Linked DNA regions of Rattus norvegicus. The protein of the gene in region 1 interacts with the protein of each later gene in a biochemical or structural test. Links are inferred from orthologs where the notes say so. Each region holds a gene or a part of one and is shown in the gene's direction. Other genes may lie near its edges.

What was found.
Region 2: the proteins of Scn8a (region 1) and Fgf14 form a complex in vitro, tested with the Homo sapiens proteins (2 studies listed by BioGRID). The link is inferred for Rattus norvegicus from reciprocal best matches to the Homo sapiens genes SCN8A and FGF14.

Annotation. Positions count from the first base shown.
Region 1 is NC_086025.1:134,002,663-134,009,900, forward strand, and holds part of Scn8a (sodium channel protein type 8 subunit alpha), read left to right. Parts: intron 1-1,416; coding exon 1,417-1,887; intron 1,888-2,150; coding exon 2,151-2,268; intron 2,269-2,847; coding exon 2,848-3,002; intron 3,003-5,034; coding exon 5,035-5,208; intron 5,209-7,238. UniProt on the Homo sapiens protein: Pore-forming subunit of a voltage-gated sodium channel complex assuming opened or closed conformations in response to the voltage difference across membranes and through which sodium ions selectively pass along their electrochemical gradient.
Region 2 is NC_086033.1:107,615,498-107,622,735, reverse strand, and holds part of Fgf14 (fibroblast growth factor 14), read left to right. Parts: intron 1-2,923; coding exon 2,924-3,034; intron 3,035-6,399; exon of another isoform or gene 6,400-6,472; intron 6,473-6,577; coding exon 6,578-6,681; intron 6,682-7,238. UniProt on the Homo sapiens protein: Probably involved in nervous system development and function.

The DNA of each region.
Region 1 (7,238 bases):
GTCACCACGATGGGTCTGCAATCCCTGACATTCTCCACACTCCTCCCCCAGGTCCTGTCCCTCCTTTTGTGCGGGCAGCTCCTCCTTTATATTTCTTTCTTTACATATCCTGTACCCACAGCTTTCCCTGCAGCATCTCTTGGCTGCATCGCTGCACTCCTATAGTGTGATCAGAGAACTACCTGCATCAGTCACACAAGGTTCATTCAGTTAAAAATAAATAAATAAATAAAAGGTGGAGCCAGGCCCTGTACCTGGGTAGGCGGGGGAGATGTGTGTGTGTTACCAGATATCCACGCACCTGCCTCCAGCTGACCAGACTGTACCAGCCCATCTCTGTCTCTGCCCAGCCTTCTGGTGTAGCTAACAGGAATGACTCCTTGAGATCTCGGTCACCACTTACACCCCTCCATTCTGCAGCAGTTAGCAAGCTGGGTGGTTCACACCTGTAATGCCAGCACTCAGGAGGCTGAGGCATCAGGATCGTGAGTTTAAGGCCAGTTTAGGCTACGTAATGAGACCCAAACAGTAGTGTGTGTTATCCAACATGGCAAAATAGGGGCTTTAAACAAAGCCTGCATTTCACGGCTTGGCGTCTGGCTCTGCAGGAGAGACTGAAGTCGGTGTAGCATCCTGCTCAGACTTTGAACTCCTAGCTCTGGTGTCCCTACCTTAACTTTGGATGTGGCCAGTTTATAGGCTCTGTCCCTGCTTCCAGAAAAGGGATTTTTGTAGACACCGGGGAAGCAGAGATAACTCACTCCTTTTTGCTTAGTTGTTAATATGTTACAGGGCCTCGCACATTAAAGTGCTCCAGAACACACCCTTGAGGGAAGGTGGCATACATATTTCAGTTTTGCCTTCTTGGTTTGTTTATGAAAGTATGGCTCTGGAAACCTAATTTTATTGTTCTAACACGGGTCCTTTGAGATACCTGCTATCACAAACACATGACTCCGTGCACTCATCTGCCCTCCTCAGTCATCCATTCAGGCATTTTCGGTTTTATCTTTTTTCTTTCAAAGAGAATACAGCCTTTGCCCTCTTGTCATAAGAAAATTAATAGATTTGGGGCATCATCATACAAACGTAAAAGTAGAGAAGAGCCAGGAAAAGTTCAAAACTCCTTACCGTAAAGCCGAAAGAAATTTCCATCTGGCGTCGTGAACATTTAAAATACCACAGGGAGGGGCTGAACACTTAGCATGCAAGCATGCCCAAGGTCAGGCATTTCATCTTTTGCACAAAGAAATGAATAAAATGAATTATGACAGGAGCCAACACAGCACAGAAACCCTTTGCAGTCTATGTGACTCTGTTGGCTTCTGATTTGTCACACTGAGGAGAGAGGATAACGTCCCAAGACAATTCCACATTTGCTCCTTTTTTCTGCTGCTGCTGCTGCTGCTGCTGTAGGTGCTGAACCTATTCCTGGCCTTGCTTCTGAGCTCCTTCAGCGCAGACAACCTGGCGGCCACAGACGACGACGGGGAAATGAACAACCTGCAGATCTCAGTGATCCGGATCAAGAAGGGCGTGGCCTGGACCAAAGTGAAGGTGCACGCCTTCATGCAGGCTCACTTCAAGCAGCGGGAGGCGGATGAAGTGAAACCCCTCGACGAGCTGTATGAGAAGAAGGCCAACTGCATCGCCAACCACACGGGCGTGGATATCCACCGGAACGGCGACTTCCAGAAGAACGGGAACGGAACCACCAGCGGCATCGGCAGCAGCGTGGAGAAGTACATCATCGACGAGGACCACATGTCCTTCATTAACAACCCAAACCTGACCGTCCGGGTGCCCATTGCTGTGGGCGAGTCTGACTTCGAGAACCTCAACACAGAGGATGTTAGCAGCGAATCAGACCCTGAAGGCAGCAAAGATGTAAGGTCCCAGCCAAGAAAACCAGCCCAGCGCCCCAGGGTCAGGCTAGGTCTCCCCTTGGGGACCGAGCTCCCTGGGCTAGTCCAGATTTAGTTGCATGGATTCTGGAGTCAATCAACCCTTTAGTTTGTCCCTGCTCTTAATCCACCTGACCCCGCGGTTAGTGTCTGTCTGTGCGTGACCCCTAGCTGAGGTCACGTACACATGATCACGGGACATGTTCCTGCACAGCTCCCTGACCCATCCTCTTCCTTCCTGTCTAGAAACTGGACGATACCAGCTCCTCAGAAGGAAGTACCATCGACATCAAGCCTGAGGTGGAAGAAGTTCCCGTGGAGCAACCTGAGGAATACTTGGATCCGGACGCCTGCTTTACAGAGGGTAAAAGGGACAGGGAAAGGTTGTGCATGACCTGTGTGCTGTTTAGTCATGGGCGCCATTTTGGAGGCGCTGTGGCTGCCCGTGATTTTGGAGGCGCTGTGGTTGGGCGCCATTTTGAAGGCGCTGTGGTTGGGCGCCATCTTGGAGGCGCGATGGCTGCGCGCGCGCTATCTTGGAGGTGCTGTGGACGAGCACCATTTTGGAGGCGCTGTAGACTTGTGCCATTTTTGGTGCAGGTTGGTTTTTAATAAATATTTTTTAATCATTTCCCTTACTCAGTTCTGACATACAAGTTTCCAGTCTAGATTTTTTTTGTGCCCGACTGCCATTAGAAAGGCCTCCGTGGTGTGCTGTGCCTGCCTCCTGACCTGACCAGCCTCCTCCCAACCCTCTCACTGCTTCCTTGTAGTGATCTTCCTGATTCCAGAAGTCCTGCCTTTTTATTACCCTTGCAACATAGCTTCAGCGATTCTCACCATATTCAGCGGCTACCCTCCCTACTGTGGAGTGGGAGCCTGGAAAGGGACCAGTCAGGCCGCACAAGGGTCCAGTCTGACCCGACTCTCCCATTGCTTCCAGGTTGCGTCCAGCGGTTCAAGTGCTGCCAGGTCAACATCGAGGAAGGACTAGGCAAGTCGTGGTGGATCTTGCGGAAAACCTGCTTCCTCATTGTGGAGCACAATTGGTTTGAGACCTTCATCATCTTCATGATTCTGCTCAGCAGTGGCGCCCTGGTGAGAGTCAAGGGAGAATGACTAGCAGCTGGTGGGGGAAGGGTACAAAGAAACAGGGAACCGAGGCTGGGTGAGGTTACCAGTCTTTGAAGGGGTAGAGAGCTCCCAAGAACAGGAATTTGTTCAAGAGATTTGAGCTGGCCAGGATATATATAGTGCTCTTGAGTCTAGAATCCACCCTTCTTCACATCTGACCTTAAGATAACCCCCACCCCCGAACCTGCAGTGCTCTTTGCATGGGATTGAAGACAAACCTGCCACTGCCAGCTTTGCCCTACCCCAGACAGCCTCCTGAGATGGGCCAGTATCCCTCTCCACATCCAGACTGCTCACTCTTCATTTCTCCCCTAGAACTGCTCTCACTGACACACCTACAGGTGTGCCTTTCTACTCTCCCAACCACAGGTAACCATCATGCTCCCTCCAAGCACCACAACTACATAGTCCACCATCATGCAATAGGAGGGACTACCTCCTTCATGAGTTCCCTAGAGAGAGAAGACTCTCCCAACCCAGGCCGCCCCCTGCCCCATATCTGTGGCATAGAGGAGCTAACAGAAAGGATCTTGTCAAATCTGATAAACAATGGGCAAGGGTGTGAGCATCTGGAACTCTCACACCCTCCTGATGTCCTGCATGTGAAGTCCTGTGGCCATGTTGGTAAACAGTTCCTAGTTCCTCCCAATGTTAAGGACTTAGCAGCAAGTTCTGTTCCTAATCACACACCCTAAAGGATTGAAAACACATTGCCAATCAAACACAAACACTCATAGCAGAGTTATTCATACTAGCTTAAAAGTAGAAACAGCCCGTGTCCATCAAGTAATGATCGTTAAACAGACCACAGTGTTTCCATACCTTGGAGTCGTGTTCCTCCTTGAAGAGTGAATCATCCACACACGCTGAACTATGAGATAGATTGAGAACTTTGAGAAGCCAGGCTTTGGGGTCAGGAGGTGGCTCGGCCATTAAGAATGCAAGCTATTCTTCCTGAGGACCTGAGTTCGGTTCCTAGCACCCATATCAGGTAGTTCACAACTGCCTGTAACTCAGGTACAGGCAATACAACATAGCCTTCATGGGCACCTGCACTCCTGCACACATACCCTTACACAAACACACATGCAGACACATGATTGGAAAGAAAATAATTTTTTTATAAAAATAAGAAGCCCTGGGGCTGGGGATTTAGCTCAGTGGTAGAGCGCTTACCTAGGAAGTGCAAGGCCCTGGGTTCGGTCCCCAGCTCCGAAAAAAAGAACCAAAAAAAAAAAAAAAAAAAAAAAAAAAAGAAGCCCTGAGGCTGGAGAGATGGCTCAGCGGTTAAGAGCATTAACTGCTCTTCCAGAGGTGCTGAGTTCAAATCCTAGCAACCACATGGTGGCTCACAACCATGCATAATGAGATCCAATGCCCTCTTCTGGTGTGTCTGAAGACAGCTACAGTGTACATACATACATACATACATACATACATACATACATACATACATCTTTAAAAAATAAGAAGCAGCCAGGCACACACAAAAAAAGTATTGGATCGGGGGTTGGGGATTTAGCTCAGTGGTAGAGCGCTTGCCTAGGAAGCACCAAGGCCCTGGGTTCGGTCCCCAGCTCCGAAAAAAAGAACCAAAAAAAAAAGTATTGGATCGTTTTACTTGTATGAAATGCCCCCAAAAAGGCAGATTAGTATACTGAGGACCAACAGAATGAGGGGTCCAGAAGGTAACAGCTGGAAGATGTGGGATAATGAAAATGTTATAAATGTATATGATGAATATGTAATATCCTAAAAGCCACTGAATTTAAATATGGGATATAAATTATTTCTCAATAAAATACTTTCCTGGACTTAGTGGTTAGCCTGCATATACCCGGCCCTGGGTTCAGTCCCCTGCATCACTAACCAATAAGCAAGGAGGGGAAGCGGGGGATCAGAGTGGAGGAGTGGGAACCTGATGGCGGACAGCTTGTGTGAGGAGCTGCGACGCTGGCACACTGCCCTGATTCGGCAGCCGCTGCATCTCTTGCAGGCCTTTGAGGACATCTACATTGAGCAGAGGAAGACCATCCGCACCATCCTGGAGTATGCGGACAAGGTCTTCACCTACATCTTCATCCTGGAGATGTTGCTCAAGTGGACAGCCTACGGCTTCGTCAAGTTCTTCACCAATGCCTGGTGCTGGTTGGACTTCCTCATTGTGGCTGTAGGTGTCCAGTTACCCATTCCTTGTCCTTTGTAGCAGGAGCTGGGGTTAGCTTAGCAATCAGTGTGTCCCTGCAGGCTTGGGTGCAGGTCCTCTTATGACAGTTAGCTCTTATTTGGAGGACGGGACCTCTGAAGACCCTGCCCTGCCCCAGAGCCTGTCCTGTCCTTCGTGCCACTGGGCCTGGCTTATTTAGATTCAGAAAGTCCCCTCCCTGTCTTTAGCCTAGACATCAGAAGGTTCTTGCCCTATGACTACAGGACATTCCCTTTCTGCTACCATGAGATGGGATTCTGAGATGAGGCGGGGCGTGGGCAGGAGGCAGGGTGTATGGCTAACGTGGGTTACAGGAACGAGGTGGGGTCTGGGGATAGGGTAGGGTGGGGGGATTGGGGCTGGGGTCTGTGGCTCCTGTCCATGCCGTGGATACTTCCCAGATGTGCCAGTCAAGTCACTTCCCCTGGGGAGAAGAGCCTAAGGTGTGGCCATTTCTGTTGTGATCACCAAATGAAAACATTCGTCCTCCAGGCTGTATGACCACAGCTTCGTGACCTCGGGCTCCTGTGTTGTTTTCAGGTTGGAAGCAGCAGCAGTTGGTTCTCACCCCACCAGCACTAACTCTGACTGTCTTCCACTTTCTGCAGTGACTAAAACTTTTCTCTTGCTTCATTTAAAGAAAGGGTGCATGAGACTCACAGTACCGAGGCTGCAGAGAATTCATCCTGGGGCTGGGATGAAGGACCTAGAGGCTGAAGCCTGAGTGGGTGTGTTTCGAAGAGACTTCGTGGGCTATTGGCGAATTGCCTGTGTAATTCCTATGGAATCTAGGACAGATCTATTGGGAGATCTTTCAGTACTGCACCAGCAATGACTTCTTCATAAACACATTCCCTTCCCAAGTTCTCTTCAGCATCTGTGGCTAATGAGTGCTTCCAGGAACTAACATTGTCTCATCCTCTCCTATTTCAGGAGGCTAGGTGTATTCATCAGGGTTGTCTAGACTGACAGAACTTATACAGTGAATATAGAAGACAGACAACAGATGATAGATAGAATTTATTAGAGTGACTTACAGGCTATGGTCCAGCTAGTCCAACAATGGCTGCCTATGAACAGAAGTTCTAAGAATCCAGTCTTTGTCCAGTCCAAAAGGCTGGACATCTGTGCTGGTCTTCAGTGTTCCCCAGAATCCTGAGGAACCAGGCTCTGATGCCAGAGAAGGTGAGAACAAATGAGGTGAGAACAAGCAGGCCAAGAGCAGACCTTCCTTCCTCCATATCCTTGTCTAGGCTCCCAGCACCAGGCCCAGATTAGAGGACAGCCTTCCCACCTGGAAGATCTGGGTTGAAGGTGTGTTTTTCCACCTCAGAGACCCGTATTAGAAGTGAGTCTTCCCTTCAGTTAAGCAGAGGCCACTCACAGGTGTACCCCTCGGTGTTGGGGTTTAACTCCAGGTGTGGTCAGGTTGACAAACCCCAGGGAAAGGGGGCGGTCCTTGCAGTTAGCAGACCTAGACACTTAAGCAGCTGTGGGGAAAATAGGAGATGACACCTGAAGCTAGGCCACCTCTCTTCCTAGAGAAGGGGACATGCACAGTAACTCTTGGGCACCTGGACTCAGGAAGATGCCCACAGAAACCCCTTCTCTCTCGGGTTTCATGAGGATGCAGACAGATAGGTCCTCTACCACAGTCTAGCTGCCCAAGAAGAACTGTGGTCTGGGTCAGCGCTTCCCTTTCCTCCGTGGTCAACCCCAACTTACCACTTCCTCTCTGGGCTGAGCAACCCCATACTCAAGGATACAATCAGGCATGTCACATGCGCCTAAACCCAGGCCAGCACTTATTTATCAAGGGTTTTCTTTATACTCAGCAGAAAGAAAGCAAAGCAGTAAACCGAGTGTTTGCTAATTGACTGTAACCCATCAGTTCCTCCAGCTTTCCGAAGGTGCTGGATTATCTACTGCTGCGGGTCCCACAGTGGCTCTGAATGGCTCTTCAGCAGTCACTGGTAATCAGCATGAATTAAATA
Region 2 (7,238 bases), on another chromosome or scaffold:
CGTGTGAGTAAAGGGAAGCTGTGTGCTAGGTTATAGGATCTTCCTGCCCTGACTGATCTATTTAACTAAACTCTGGAAAAACTAGCGGCTAGAATGTGGTACTATTTAAAATAAATGCCGACAGAACACAAGGATTTTACAGAACTGGACTGTAAAATTCTCTGTTTATGTTCACAGGCACTAATAAATTTTTCCATCCTTTTAGCTATATTTTTGTTTATTTTTGAGACAGGGTCTCACTATATATATATACTTATATAAGTATATATACATCTATATATATATATACTTATATATAGATGTAGTTATCCTGGAATTCACTATGTAGACCAGGCTAAATTTGAACTCACTGAGAACTGTCTGTTTCTGCCTCCTGAGTGCTGGGATTAAAGGCATATGCCATATCTGCAATATCACTGTTCATTATTTTTCTTGCTACCAATGTACAGATAAGAGCGTAAGAAATGCAACCAATACCAGGTACAGGACTGCAGTGGGCAGGGCATGTTGAAGAGATGGATGGGGGGCTATATTCTTTTAAACTTATCTCAGAAGTATGAAATTTTAGAAAGAGTTGAGGAAGTGGAAACATGATCAGAATATATTGTATGGAGAAACATTTATTTTCATTAATAAAAACAAAACCAACCAAGCAAACAACAGCAACAAAGTGGCAATTAAGAGTCAAGCAATGGTTAATATTAACCTTAACCATTAATTTCAACCTGACTGGATTGACTTATCTAGGAGACTGGTTGGGCATGTCTCTGGTTATATCTGTGAGGGGAATTTCCAGAAAGGATTAACTGCAGGGGAACAAGTACTTTAAATGGAGGCCGTATTATCCCATGGGTTCAGTGTTCTGACAGAACAAAAGAATGAAAAAGACAAAGCAGAATTATGGGATTATGAATTTTGAGATTATTTGTTATAGAAGAAAGTATTGATAAATTATTTCTCCACTGGTGAAATAAACCAACTCAAGCCAGATTAGTTTATACTAAATGCAAGTTGATTGGAAGCTGCTCTTAGGTGAGCTCACTGGCCCTAAGGAGTTGCCATGAGAGGGAGAAAGAGAAAGAAGGAAGAGAAAAGAAAGAGATAATGCTCATGTGCAGAGAAGAAAAGGAGAGAGAAATAGAGAAGGGGAATAAAAATGACTAGATTACTGGGGAAAGGGCAGTCCAGCTCCTGGACTGGAAAGTTCAGGGTTGAAGCCAGGTAGGGACTGAGAGATGCTGGTAGAAGGTGGAGGCCAGGTCTGCTTTGATGTGTAAAACATGCACCTTGTCTCAGGGTCCAAAACCAAACAGGTATATACACAATCTTAATAATTACTTAGATATCCCCTTTTTACACACCTTTTTAATCAGTATTTTAAACACACCTGTCTTCTAACATGCTTGTTACAGTGACGTTATCATACCTCAATGTTAGCTTACTTTCCAGAATGTTATTTGTGTCCAATTCATCATCTCATCTATAAAGTAAATGTTCTTGGTGCAGCCGTATGAATAAGAACAATGACTTGGATTGATTATTTTTTTCATTTCTGAAAAGCTGTTCAAAATCCCAGAGCTGTTCTGTTGTGGGCAAATCTGCTTGTTTGGCCTGTTCGTTGTTTCTGTTTGCCTGTTGGCTAGTCTGTGTTAAAGACTATGTGTCGGATTGCTCATTGCATCCTGCAATTTGGACAGTACAAACAAATTTCCATGTTCCATTCAGCTGCTGTGGAGAAAAGGCTGTTGCCATGAGAGTTATGATGTCCCATATCAGCTATGCTTCCAAAATGAGCATGACCTTTGCAAAGCCACATGCAAATATTTATTTTCTTAAATACATTTATTTTCTTAGCTTCTAGAGAAACACTGAATTACCAGGCAGCTATCTTTTCTTAAAGTCTTTAAGTGAGAAGACCCCAATACATAGCTTCCCCTTTAGTTATAGTGAATGCCCACCTCCCTTTACTTCTATGTATGATGTCCAAGAATCGAATGATACATACATACATACATACATACATACATACATACTTACACACACACACACACACACACACACACACACACACACACACAAAACTCAGCTGTTCTATTCAGTTATATAAATAAAGAGCTTGCTTGTTTCATTTACAACTTAACCAGGACATTGTCCTAGAGTTGATTCCTATGTAGATTAATGTATTGTCATATTTTGCTGTATTGTCTTGTCTTTTCTTGTTTTGTTTTATTTTGTTTTGCTTCAGCAATGCTGGGTCCTGTACATGCAAGGCATCCACTGCAGTGCTGAGCCAAGCCCAATCAATCTCCTGTGTCCTTTGATTCTAGGTCTCACTTTGAGTTCAGAAGTGAAATGTCTGACTCTTTTGTATATCATTTATAAACACCACAAATCCTTCCATGAAAGCTGAGGGTAGGGGGTATTGTCCAAACTGGGGATTTTATTAAAGATATACATCACATTTTAACATAATTTTTTAAAATACAGTTTTCTCTCACTTATAGGTTGTCAGTTTAAGTAAAATGAAAACTTCATTTGAAACCTTGAACGAAGTTTCTGAGTCACTCCACTGCAAAACTCTTGAATTGCCACCCCGAATGACAGAATTAGTTTATAATAATTAGAGGTTAAAGTTGTAATTAAACTAATGATTTAATTAGTTTAACCATCTAATGAATAATGAAAATACACATGCTAGTTTTATGAAATGCCCTATTTTCTGAAGCTTATTATTGTGCTTGCTTTAATTGTGGTGGTTTGTGTAATCTGGCTATCATGACCCAGACAAGTCTGGGGAAATGTGCACCCTTTATAAAATGTCATCTTCTGAAGAAGAAACATGAAATTTTTTTAAAAGAAGGAGAACAATCCAACTCTCCCTTGCAGCCCTGTGAATCTGATTACCCCTGTGTTTGCCTTTCAGATCCCCAGCTCAAGGGCATAGTGACCAGGTTATATTGCAGGCAAGGTTACTACTTGCAGATGCACCCCGATGGAGCTCTCGATGGAACTAAGGATGACAGCACCAATTCCAGTAAGTGACCAACCAAATCTGCTACACAAATGGCTTTGTGAGATGTGTTTGGAAGTGATTGGTCCTGTTGGCTTGGTTCTAGTTGCCCACTAGATTGCGTGCATCATTTCATTGAGACCTGTGGTGTTAAACTGAGTTTTTGTTTTTTTCAAGCAATGGTTATGTCCACAATATCACTGTTCATCTGATTATAACAGTTAGGTACACACATGTATCAGTATAAAAGTTAATGTCTTCTGCATAGAGGGCATTCTTCAGGCTCTGTATGTATAAACACATTGTATAAAACATTTGTCTTATACCATAGGGTCTGTGAACATTAAAACTCTATGTATCTTTTGTAATATTAATATTTCCCTTCTATTTGGTATTTTTTATATTATACTCGTTACATTTTTCACAGTTTTCTCCTATACTGGTCTGTAATTTCCTCTATTTGCACATTACTTTTAACACACACACATACACACAAACACACACACACACACACTCACCTTTTATTGCTAGGTTTAGAAAAATGTCCAAATGGGTTTTGATAGATTCAGTTCCAGGACATACATACAATCCTTAGGTCATGAGCAATGATGACTTCCTGTCAAGTTAACATTCTCTTCACAATAGACTATACTCCATGAAAAGAAAGGAAGACCTTTTCCATGTAATGGAATCATCAGTTCTTCATGTTTTAGTTCCACTCATCAGGTTCTCAGGCAGAGATTCTGAGAACAGTTAATGACATGAAATAAGTTGTTTTATACATCATGCTTCTATGTGAAATATTAGTATTTTTGGTATCCTTATATCTGAAGTGAGCTGACTTTTATGAAGAGTGTGTTTATACTGGTAATTTTCGGTAACTTGCTTTACTCCCTTCAAATAATATTATATATACATTTTTCTTATTAATCTTCCTTTTCTTTTTTTATAAATAAAAAATCCTTCTCTCTATTGTCTCTTCCACTTTTGTCTTAAAAATTACCCCTATATTATTTCCTATTTATTTATTTATATTTTATTTCTTATTAGGAAAAGAGAAGAAAGATAATTCAGGCACAGGCAACACAGAAAAGAAACAGCTGTTGGTAGAGATTTATAAATAAAATTCTTTTATAGAATTAGATATTGAGTGTCATTATCTGCACAAATCATAACAAAAGTTTTCAAAGGAAAAGAAACAAAAATAACTACACCTGAAGGAAAGAACTTCCTCTTTGCTTTTTTCTTTTTCTGGCAACATGTGAGGGTGTGAGGTATACATAGTGTGAATGCATAGTTAGATCTGACTGTCTGAAATATACAAGCGTCATCACATCACCCACCCCTCAAAGGGTTTAGAATGGGTTCTCACATGAACTGTAGTCTAAGTTCATTTGAGGAGCACTTAAGACACTTTTCTTGTGTCCTTAACCTAGCCCTAGAGATTCTGACTTGTTTGGTTCAGGGCTGGGTATGGTCATTTTATTTCATAAACGCAGCCATTTTCATGTACAGCCAGGGTTGAAATCTAGTTGCAGACCAGAGAGTTCTACAACAGAAACACAATCACAGGGACATCTTTATTTTTATTCCACTAGGTTTTGCCTCATTGCTTTGTAATTATAAAAATTCAAGGAGAGTGAAAAATAATTTATCTATGTTCTTAACTAGTACCACTCTTTTTCCATGGTCAGCTCCACATTGTTAATTTGTAAATGATAATTGCTGGCATTTTCCCTGACAAAATCCCAAGGAAAGAAAGATAGTGTAATTTTTATTAAGGTTATTTTAGGCTATATTTTAGAACTTTTCTACTTCTTATACTATATTATATTCATATTACTCTTGCCTTTGGGAATTATACCATATAGTTGACATGACATATTCAAAAGCTACAACATTTTTTTAAATCAAGATACAGAGATTAAAGTAAATAGGTTGGAAATTATCAGGTTAGGTAAACATATACAAGATTATGTTCTCTCTTAAAATTCTGCATGGAGCTTAGGAATTATCCTACAGTGTCCCTCCTTTCAAATTTTAGGGAGATAATAAAGATAAAAACAAACATAAGTTTCACATGCAAAACAGAAACAGAATTTCCAGGACAAAGCCTAGTTCTCAATGGCACCATACTATATTCAACACCAAATAACAAATAAAAAGGTCTAAAACTTTTTTCTATATGTCATAACCTTCTAGAATCCAGTTGAAGACAGTTCAGTGTTACTTTGTATATTGTAAGCAACACTCAACTATCCACCTGTGGGACCGCAAATTAATCTATGGGTAATTATCACGACCATGTCCTGCTGTTTTCCTTTGAGGTGCAGATATGGTATGATCTGGAGAATAGAAATATGTAATTATTGCAAAAGAGAACCTAGCTTTCTCCATCATACGTAGTATGATCTTGAAAAAGAAAAACAGAACAAAACCTTCAAAATTACTTTTTAATTATGTACTGAGTAGCCTTAGAATAAAATCAAACTGTATATCATTTTCAAGTGACATGTCTTCTGTAAAAAAGTTGAAGACTTAAAGATAAGACATTTTATTCATACATTTGTGTTAAGAGCTAATGCCTATTCCCATTGCTCAGAAGTAAAATCAAGTTAAGGAGTTAAATGAGAGCAGTTAATTAATAGCTTTCTTGTCAATAACACTTGCACTAAGAATACTAATGCAAGCCTCATTGAGTAGTATAAGCATGCTAGACATATTATGGTTGACAATATCTAAAATGATATTGTTGAATATACTTCATAAAAGTACATTAAATACTTTATTAGAAGGGAAGAAAACATAAAAATATAGCTGGATTTTTAAATTATCAGAAATATAAAACAGCATATTATACTTTTATGTTTATTTATAGCTTTATACAATACCAATAAATAAAAGTCTTTCTTGAAAATAACATGCTATTTCATCTTCTTGACACCTTTTAAGCTTATCCCATGGGCAGGTATACATCTTTTCTTGGATTTTCTGGCGTCTCATGTAGCTTCTGCCAAAGTAATTTAGTTTGAGAATTACTTCTGGACTTCTGGTCTATGCTGCACTGAAATACCTAGTTATACTGTGTAGAAAATGATAGTCAACTTTAAAGTTGGAGTTTTAAATTCTGTGCCTTGAGAATATCCACAGATGATTTTTTTCCTGAAATATAGTAGGGTCAGAGACTTGGATAATAGAAGCAAAATTCCAGGCTTGATTCTGTTCTGTCCCCCAAACCCTTCAAAATGTTGTGAGCAAGCCTTCTGTGGGAAACCTGAAACTGAGATGCTCTTTTTTTTTTTTCATTTAGCAGAAGCTTCTTCATCATAAAATTCTTTAGTCAACTTGTAAAATAGAAATATTATGGATTTTTTTTTTTGGTTCTTATTTTTGGAGCTGGGGATCGAACCCAGGCCCTTGTGCTTCCTAGGCAAGCGCTCTACCACTGAGCTAAATCCCCAACCCCTATTATGTGTTTTTTAAATAACAGAAAGTAAAGGGGGAAGTATTATTGAAATGCATTGCTCCATTTACCGCTTAGTGACAGATTACCTTTATCTTCAACAGCTCTGTTCAACCTCATCCCAGTGGGACTGCGTGTTGTTGCCATCCAGGGAGTGAAGACAGGGTTGTACATAGCAATGAATGGAGAAGGTTACCTCTACCCATCAGTAAGTATCACATTAATGATATTGGCCCTTACTGTAGTAATAGTAAAATAGCAAGCGTAGCAACAAAAGCTAATGATGTGTGTGCCTGGATTCTGACGTGTTGACTAAGATTTGGTCCTTATTTCACTACTGCAGAAGCTGTTATTAATTATTCATCAGTGTTTGGTGATGGGCACATCTGGAAAAATAGTAATCTTGTATCTGGAAATGTCTTTGCCACATTTTGAAGCACAACCTAGTTCAAAGTAGAATTGAAAAATGTGGTGTTATTATGCTTTCATTTCTCTTTATAGATGTTTTGGAGACTTTCAAAAGAAGTACTATTTGTCCACATTTTCTTTTAGTAATTCATTTTACTCAGCTTAGTAACTGAATATTTATTTGGTATGTGTACATATACACAAAATGCTGCATATTATTTTTCTAACTGGAGATTTAGTCAAGTTTATTAATATGTCGGTCACCTGTTCACCAGCATAATTTTTAATAGAAAAGATGTTTTAAATGTGTTCTGAATTTTGAAATATACATATTATCTCACATCTTACATGTATTGA